2 linked regions of the Kluyveromyces lactis genome follow. The protein of the gene in region 2 purifies or fractionates together with the protein of the main gene of each other region. This does not show direct contact. Links are inferred from orthologs where the notes say so. Each region holds a gene or a part of one and is shown on either strand. Other genes may lie near its edges.

Evidence for each region. Proteins that work in one complex are often made in the same cells at the same time.
Region 1: the proteins of RAT1 (region 2) and GRC3 purify together in Saccharomyces cerevisiae (affinity purification with mass spectrometry; 3 studies listed by BioGRID, with this or other methods). This does not show direct contact. The link is inferred for Kluyveromyces lactis from reciprocal best matches to the Saccharomyces cerevisiae genes RAT1 and GRC3.

What each region holds. Positions count from the first base shown.
Region 1 is NC_006041.1:80,793-85,579, forward strand, and holds GRC3 (polynucleotide 5'-hydroxyl-kinase), read left to right. Parts: upstream 1-1,702; coding exon 1,703-3,598; downstream 3,599-4,787. Other genes in the region: alkaline-responsive transcriptional regulator RIM101, read left to right, coding at 1-1,277; putative AAA family ATPase RIX7, read right to left, coding at 3,634-4,787. UniProt on the Saccharomyces cerevisiae protein: Polynucleotide 5'-kinase involved in rRNA processing. Required for the efficient termination by RNA polymerase I and the processing of the IST2 pre-rRNA internal transcribed spacer localized between the 5.8S and 25S rRNAs.
Region 2 is NC_006042.1:702,121-707,258, forward strand, and holds RAT1 (ssRNA exonuclease RAT1), read left to right. Parts: upstream 1-1,834; coding exon 1,835-4,813; downstream 4,814-5,138. Other genes in the region: Cu(2+)-transporting P-type ATPase CCC2, read left to right, coding at 1-1,492. UniProt on the Saccharomyces cerevisiae protein: Possesses 5'->3' exoribonuclease activity. Required for the processing of nuclear mRNA, rRNA and small nucleolar RNA (snoRNA) precursors.

The sequences.
Region 1 (4,787 bases), on a different chromosome or scaffold from region 2:
GTATGAGATCTGCCTCTACGCCTTCTAGCTCTGACGAAGATACTGTTCATTTGCACCGCTGCCAATGGAAAGGCTGTAGTTTGGAGTTCACTTCTCCCGAACTACTTTATCATCATCTTTGCCAAGATCATGTTGGCCGTAAATCACAGAAGAATTTGCAACTGAACTGTCAATGGGGCGATTGTCAGACTAAAACAGTTAAAAGAGACCATATCACGTCTCATTTGAGAGTTCATGTGCAATTAAAACCTTTCGCTTGCTCCACTTGTAATAAAAAATTCAAAAGACCTCAAGATTTAAAGAAACATTTGAAGGTACATAACGAAGAACTTTCACTACTGAAAAAAAAACGTGGTCCGAAGCCATCCAATAAGCTGGGAAAGATTTCAAATGACAGATCCCGTGCTCATCAGAGATTCACTTTACCATCTATTTCTTTGGATAAATTTATTCACGAGGAGGTGAAGACTCAACAACCCGTGTACTCTCAACAATTGGCAGAAAAGATGGCCATCGTCCTGCTGTTACCTGTTAATAACAACAACGCAACTTCCCCTCCTTCTGCGTCTTCTGCTTCGTCCACTGCAGTTTCCCCGAACTTGGTATCGCACCATATGGTTCTTCCTTACCAAACCCAGCAACGTCCTCTCGTGGGTCACGGTGCTGAATTGAGATCCGCTGTTGGATTCTTCAATAATTTATCCATGGATATGTCTAGAAACTATGCTAACAATAACCTACCGACCGCTAACTTGGGTCCTAACCCGGTACCTGCACCACAATCATACCCACTAATCCCTAAGTTGCCCAGTATTTCAGCCAGGCCAAATGTTGGAGCTCCACCTCCGGTATTGTCCGTATTCAACAGGTTTGATACACATCAAACATCTCCTTCTTCATCATCATCAGCATTCTATCCTCAACACTACTCGAATAATTACAGCCTACACCAAAGAACTGCGCTGTTGGATGCTGAGGCTAACGAAGATATCCCCGAAAAGGACAACGTATCTTTGGAGGAGTCATTCACTTCGTTAAATCTATCCTCAGAAGAGCAAGACTTGGAATTATTCTACGAAACCTATTCAACTGTCAAGTTAGTTAAAGATTATTTGTTATGCGAACTTATGGAGGAGTTAGATGAATTCAAAGAGGAAGAGGAAGAGCAAGGCTTTACGTCATTTGATGAATTTAGTGACTCCAAAGAATGTGTCATTGAAGGAAGAATTCCGTCGAACAAGATATCTCTATCAAAATATCCTCAGGTTGTGATATAGCCTCGTTATAGTAGAATATTACTCCGAATTTTTTCTGCAATGTTATGACACATATACTTGATGACATGGTTTTGGGGCGGCAATCTCTTTTTTTTGTTTATAATTTTTTTTTGTGGATACAATTATAAGGTTAAAGCTGACAGTTTATATGTAATGTTTTTTATTATTTTCTAAGGAGTATGTACAACTATAATTCATGCATAGTTCCCGGTAGGTTTGATTTTGAGTTTTCTCTCAAGATGACGACAGCTTTTGGTTTCCCTTGCTATTAGATGCACTGATTATGAGCTCAGTAAAATGTCAACAAAAATTTCAGAACAAAACAGAAAAAAGTCTCAGTATGAGATGAGATGAGAAGAGGTAAGGTGCAATAAACTCAGCATTCGAATGCCACTTGCTCGGTTTCCAACAGAACCATATTTGAGATGTCTGAAGATATTCTAACATACACCGCGAACACCGATTCAGACGATTCAGATGTGGAACAAAGAGAAATCGAAAAGAAATACAAGACTTCTAGCGAAACGCCAGTAGTGCAACTCTACGATGGAGATGACTATGACAATGATGATATCAGGGAAACGAATGGGAATGACTTTCCTAACGAAGAAGATGAATCAAACCAGCTGTATTCGCCCGTTGTTGACATGAACTTCTTCACTCTATCCGATGAGTGTACTGAAGTTATAATATGCTTAGAAAAGAATCAACACCTTCTAATATGCGGTCAGTTCAATCTACAAATTATAAAAGGCGGGATTACATATAACAACGTTCATTATAACAGTGGTTATAAAAACTGGGAATTCTGGCATCCCGCTTGTAATGCAATTTCGCCAATAGTGTCTTCTTTTTATGCCGGTTGGGAATCTAAATTGTTTCTTAACCGAGAATATCAACATTTCACAACACAGATCGAAAGCTACGACTGCGTCCTAAAAATCAGCAATGGCTGCAATATAACAGAATTATCTAGTTTATTACCTGAGCTTAGAGATATGTGGGGTCCTTTGAATATTTCATTGCTACCGGGAATTGCCAGAAAGCAACTAACGTTCAACATTATCAGTAAAATTTCCGATTCTGTAAGAATATTGGATATATCAACCGAATGGTCAACAGTCATCGATGAAATGCGTATATTCCACGCTAACTCGTCACAAGATATGAGGGTCATGGTAATAGGAGGTAAGAACTCAGGAAAATCCACTTTGATGCGGCTTCTTGTCCAAAAATTTTTGCATAGTAACAACGATCTATCATATGAAGCCATACACTACCTTGATATTGATCCTGGTCAGCCAGAGTACTCGCCACCTGAAAGCATATCATGGAATAAAGTAGACCCGAAATCTATGTCCTTAGGCCAACATCTTTGCCAAGGAAGATTCACAACCATAAAACAGCATTTCATAGGATCCTCATCACCTCAGGATTGGCCAGAAACATACTCTAACGCTGTAGAATCACTTTTGAAAGAGTGGCAGACAGAGAATTTCATGGGGACATCATTTTTAAATATTCCTGGGTGGATTAAAGGATTTGGTGTTAAAATTATCAACCATGCACTTGACCATTTCAAGCCAACTCACATCATATTTCTATCTTATAATGGGCTGCCCTTTTCGTCCGAAATTAAAGTCCCTGACGCTTTCAGTACAACTCAGCGGTCAACTTACAAACCTATAATACTACAATTGCATTCTCCTGCTGTGGGTAAACACATATCCCATGCTTTACAAAGATTTAACGCAGCTAAAATCAGGCAGTTCAAGATTACAGCATATTTACATAAAAAATATGACCGAAATTTTGTAATCAATCCATTGGTCATGCAGAAACCTCAACTAACTTCTATTGGCAACCGCGGTATAGTTGGTTTTGAGTTTCTCCAATATTCCAATAGCTCTTTGTATCACGATGATATCAAACTATCTTTAGATGGGACGGTCGTTGCTCTTCATAGGGCAGATAGTACCCCAGACGTGCTATTCAAGGGCATATTCCCAGTGATGAAGAATTACTCAAAAATTAACACTGAATTTGTGGGACTTGCTTTGATTCATTCTATTGATCTTGAACAGTCCCTCATCTACATGTATATTCCTGAGAACCTCTTTCGGGCCTTAAGAGAAACGGAAAACAAATGGGTCTTAGTACGTGGAAAGACGGAAACACCCATCTGCGAGTTATACCCAAATAATGGCATATTCAAAAGTGAAGTTGATATTCCATACGTTTCTCTTTACCAAAAGAAGAGACATGAACACGTATGGAAAGTAAGAAAAAATGTGATGAGAAGAGGACATCACATGAAATGACATCATATTTATTACATATTTGTAGAATTTAAAGCTCATTCAGACCCATCTGAAGAATCGTTCCATCCCATCCTTTTGTTTAGTCTGTCATATCTAGTTCTATCCTTATCACTGACGGAGGGTTTTACTTTCTTTAAAGCGTTTTCGAAATCTTTCATATAGACAATTACATCTTCAGTTGGAGAGTTTGTTGTGAGATCTTCGAATTCTTTGTCTAGGTTGTTCTCCCCTACTGACATGATTTCATCAGTTTTGAAAAAGTTTCGTTTGAGAGCCAGGACGGATGATTCTCGGACCAGTGCGGCGATATCTGCACCCGAAAAGTTCTTGCAACGTTCATCATTAACAATCCTGTTTATATCTACGTCGTCTGCAATTGGAGTTCCGTTTGATCTAATCAAAGTTCTCATAATATCGACCTTTTCTTCGAAATTTGGTAATTCTATGAAAAGGGTTTTATCGAGTCTCCCTGGTCTTAGCATCGCTGGGTCTATCATATCTGGTCTATTCGTCGCGCCTACAACGAATATTCCTCTCCTATCGTTTAAACCATCCAATTCTGTTAGTAAGGTATTAACAACACGAGAAGATGACTCCGACAAAGACGCATCTCTTCTTGGAACGAGAGCATCTAATTCATCGAAGAATATTATACATGGTACGGATGCACGTGCTCTGTTGAATACTTGTCTTATTGCCCTCTCTGATTCACCAACGTATTTGTTTAATAGTTCAGGACCCTTGATGGAGATAAAGTTTGCTCTGGATTCATTAGCAACAGCTTTAGCTAAAAGAGTCTTACCACAACCTGGAGGTCCCCATAAAAGAACACCTGCTGGCGCACTAATACCAACTTTCTCGTAAAGCTCTGGTCTTTTGATCGGTTGTACGATAGCCATGTTCAATTCAATACGAATTTTATCTAAAGCACCGACACTGGACCATGTGACATCAGGCACAGTGGCAAACCCTTCTCTCTTAGCAGTAGGCTGGATGGTAGGCAAAGCTTTTAAAAAGTCTTCATATTTTATGAATAAACCTTGAAGCTGTTCCGCTGTCAAAGCGTCTGGGAAGTTATCTATAAAGCGCTGAATAATGGAGAGTGGAAGAGGATCAATCATATTTGCTGTGTTCTTTAATTGGGTTTCTGCATCTATATCGATATCCATGTCAACATCATTGGATCCAG
Region 2 (5,138 bases):
TGGACCTGGTCATTTCTACTTCAGAGCTATTCGTGTCGGAGAAGATACAAAATTAGCGAACATTATCGCAACGATGAAAAAGGCACAGTTATCTAAAGCTCCTATTCAAAAATACGCTGATAAGATGGCGGGCATATTTGTCCCGTTTGTGATATCACTATCAGCAATAACATTTATAACTTGGATGCTTGTGAGTTACACGATGAAGACTCCTCCTCTCATCTTTAACAGTGAAAATGGCAAATTCTTCATGTGCATGCAAATGTCTATTTCTGTAATTATTGTTGCATGTCCTTGTGCATTGGGTCTAGCGGCACCTACGGCGATTATGGTTGGTACTGGTGTAGGTGCTAGTCATGGTGTTCTCATCAAAGGTGGTGATGTTTTGGAGAAGTGTAGTGCTCTACAGACGTTTTTGTTCGATAAGACAGGTACCCTCACGACGGGGCGGATGAGTGTAGAAAATTTCATTAATTATAACAGTGATGTATCTGATTTACACTGGAAGATGATTTCATTGTGTGAATCAATAGGAGAACATCCAGTTGCAAAAGCTATTGTCAATTATGCTGATTCCCACGTAAATAAATCAAGCATTTTCGATTTGGATTTATCGAATGAGGAAGTTCTCATTGGAAAGGGAATTTCCTGTAACATCACAGATAAAAATACTTCTAAAATCCATACAATAACCATAGGTAACAAGAAATTATTTCCCGATGAGAGTTTGAGTGATATCGCTTCTTCTACTTTAACAGAATCTTATGTTTCCATCGATGGTAGTTTAGTCGGCAAATTTGAAATATCTGACAGGGTCAAAGAAGACGCACATTTTGTTGTAGAATATTTACAAAATTTGGGCATTAAATGCTGCATGGTCACAGGAGATGCGCATCAATCTGCTCTGAAAGTGGCACAACAACTTGGCATATCCGCTAATGATGTCTTCAGTGAAGTCACTCCTGAGCAGAAACGTGATATTGTCATTCAACTCCAAAACAACGGTACAGAGAGGGTTGCCTTTGTCGGAGATGGTATTAATGATTCTCCGGCTTTGGTTGAGGCAGATCTAGGAATTTCGATATCTTCTGGTACTGATATTGCAATCGAAGCTGCCGATATCGTTATTCTTGATTCGGATAATAAAAATAATTCGTTAAAAGGTTTGGTTTATGCACTTGATATTGCGCGTAAAACATTCTATAGAGTGAAGCTGAATTTCTTTTGGGCTGTCTGTTATAACACATTCATGATTCCCATTGCTATGGGTTTATTAGCTCCTTGGGGTATCACTTTACATCCAATGTTGTCTAGTGCTGCAATGGCTCTAAGTTCCGTGTCCGTGGTCTGCAGTTCGCTAATGTTGAAGAGGTGGACACCGCCTTCACTCAATATCAAATCAATGGAAGCTTCCGGTGGATTGTCATGGCTTAGATTTGGTAGAAACAGTAACAGAGGTGATGATATTGAACTTCAGGAAAGATTGATGTAACCTTAGCTATTTACGCTATTGCAATTCTTAAATATCAGTACTTGTATTATAACATTAATAAAATTCATATTCGTAATAAACGAAAGATTGTATAATAGAATCGCTGGATGAGTTTATTGTACAGTGAACCAAGCGCTGTGTTTAGCAATTACTGGTATTATTGTTACTCAAAGCGGTTTGTCACTACATCGTTGATGAGCTGAGTTATTTATCCGGGTAACAATAAACAATAAGTAAAATTAATCGATGAGATGAACATAACTTTAGAAGTACAGATGAATGCATACTGTAATCTAATAGGCAGTTGGTACAAATAGCGAGAAGTAAGGCCAGGTACTCACAATGGGTGTTCCGTCCTTTTTTCGTTGGTTGTCTAGGAAATATCCTAAAATCATTTCTCCTGTGTTGGAAGAATATCCAGTTATCGAAGATGGTGTTCAACTACCGCTTGATTACTCTTCGGCCAATCCCAATGGTGAGTTGGATAACCTTTATCTCGATATGAATGGTATTGTTCACCCTTGTTCACATCCGGAGAATAAGCCACCACCTGAAACAGAGGATGAAATGCTTCTTGCTGTGTTTGAGTACACAAATCGCGTTTTGAATATGGCCAGACCAAGAAAAGTCTTGATGATAGCGGTTGATGGTGTTGCACCAAGAGCGAAGATGAATCAACAGAGAGCACGTAGGTTTCGTAGTGCAAGGGATGCAAAACTCCAAAATGAAGCCAGAGAGCAAGTATTACGAGAAAGAGAGGACTATGGTGAGACGATTGATGAAAATGTCAAAAGTAAAAAGACATGGGATTCAAACGCAATTACTCCAGGTACCCCATTTATGGATAAACTAGCTACAGCTTTAAGATATTGGACAAGTTTCAAGTTAGCAACTGATCCCGGGTGGAAAAATTTACAAATTATTATAAGTGACGCTACTGTTCCAGGTGAAGGTGAACATAAAATAATGAATTTCATTAGATCTCAAAGAGCAGACACTCAATATAATCCAAATACAACACATTGTATATATGGGTTAGATGCAGATTTGATCTTTTTGGGACTAGCAACCCACGAACCTCATTTCAAAATATTAAGAGAGGATGTGTTCGCCAATAACAACTATAAAAAACCAAAGCCTCAAGATATGATAAATTTATCTGAAGAAGAGAAACAACAGCTTATTCAACAAGATTCAGAAAAGCCATTCTTATGGCTCCATATCAGCGTTTTAAGAGAATATCTTTCAGCAGAATTAGCGATTCCACATTTATCGTTCCAGTTTGATTTTGAACGAGCAATCGACGATTGGGTTTTCATGTGTTTCTTCTGTGGTAATGATTTCCTACCGCATTTACCTTGTCTTGATGTGAGAGAGAATAGCATTGACATTTTGGTGGATATATGGAAGACTGTGTTGCCCAAAACAAAAACCTACCTAACATGTGATGGTACACTCAATTTGGAACCTGTAGAAGCTTTACTTGAACAATTAGGAGACCGTGAAACAGATCTTTTCAAAAAGAAATACATTCAGGAAGTTCGTAAGCAAGAGGCTCATGATAGGCGAAAGAAATTGAAAAGTAACCCCAATGTTTCCCAGGGCAAGGTCGACAGAAATTTTATGATTCCGTTGGAGAATATGCCGGTCTATGATGTTGATGGCAACGCCGCTGAAGGCTCTTTGAATTTGTCTAATAAGGATTTCGCTAATATGCGTAAAGAAATTAATTTGGCGAATGAAGGTGATGGCGAAGCAGCTAAAGCTTTGAAACTAAAAAGTGAGAAGAATAGCGGTGTGGTCGAGTTTTCATCGGAAGAATTGAAAAATAGCGTGCAACTGTCGAAGACTGCGAACTACGATGCTGCTACCAGCTTACAGGAGAAACTTATTGCTAAGAAGATGGCAATGAGAGATGAGGAAAATGCAGAAGAATTGTCGTTGAAACGGAAAAGTGAAGATGTTGACTCTGCTGAAAAGGAAACATCCAATGAACCTGAGGATGATGAGGCCGATTATGATGAAGACGAAGGCTCTACTGTTCCACCAGCGGTCATCCACACCGGTATTGTAAAATCAGGGTTCATTGACACCGATGAGTCGGTTAGACTTTACGAACCTGGATATCATGATCGTTACTATCAACATAAATTCCATGTTCCAGCAAAAGATATTCCAGCTCTGCAAAAGGATGTGATTAGGTGCTATGTGGAAGGTATTTCATGGGTTTTATTATATTATTATCAGGGATGTGCGTCTTGGACTTGGTACTATCCATACCATTATGCTCCTTTTGCTCAGGATTTCAAGAATATAAAAAATCTAGATATTCACTTTGATCTTGGTGAACCATTCTTACCATACGAACAGTTAATGAGTGTTTTACCAGCAGCATCAGGCCACGCACTACCCGAAATATTCAGACCATTAATGTCAGATCCAAACTCTGAGATTATAGATTTCTATCCTGAAGAATTCCCAGTGGATATGAATGGTAAAAAGATGGCTTGGCAGGGTATTGCACTATTGCCATTTATAGATGAAACACGTTTACTGAAAACAGTTCGAGAACAATATTCTAAGCTTTCTGATTCAGAAAAGGCAAGAAATGTTAGGAAGAAGGATGCACTTTTGATCAGCAACAAGAATGTGAATTACGACCTGTTTATGAAGAATTTATATGGAGAAAACCCCGTTAACGTGATAGAGTTTAGACATTTCAAATCTGGTTTAAGTGGATTCGTAACACAAGCTGAAGAAGGGTTTGAACTAAACTCCAAGCTGATATGTCCTATTAATGGGGGTGGTTTGCCAGATTTGAGTACAAATTTATTCCTAAAACTTTCGTATACGCAGCCTGTGGTTGCGGGTAGATGTAAATCGTTAGTATTGAACGGATATATCCCACCTCAACCAATGCTTACCCCACAGGACCGAGACTGTATCATTTATAAATACAGTAACCGTTGGAATCCTTCCATGATGAAATACAACATTGTGCCTGTTGGCCCATCGGGGATTACCCAATATCAGCCCAGGGTTGGAGGTTACAGAAGTTTCTTCTTCCATAAAGAACAGACAGCTTATGCTCAACAACCGCAACAAAATAGAGAGTATATGCACTCGCAACAGAGACAGCCACAGGGCAGCAGATATCAACAGTCTAGGTATAATAATGGAAACTACAATAATAGTAACAACGGTTATTCTGATAATAATAATGGTAATACCGGCAAATACAACCGTCATTATAACAACAGTAGAGGTAATAGCAATCGATACTCGAATAGTAACGATAGAAGAAGGGAATTCAGAAGATGATGAACTGTGGACAATTTTATACCCGTTTATATCAGCACATTTATTTGTAATACATACTATAACATCAACATCCAAAGCATATTACTGAGCAACAGGAGTAGAAGCATTCGCGACAGTGATCAGCTCCACAGATACTCCTTTTCCAGTATCATGAACCTGGATACAAAATACACGTGATTTGTAGTTTCACTACTGTGTCTAATATTTCTCCAACTGTATAACAATTATCCGATATAGTGTAACGGCTATCACATCACGCTTTCACCGTGGAGACCGGGGTTCGACTCCCCGTATCGGAGTATTTTTTTCAGTTTTTCAAGAGAAG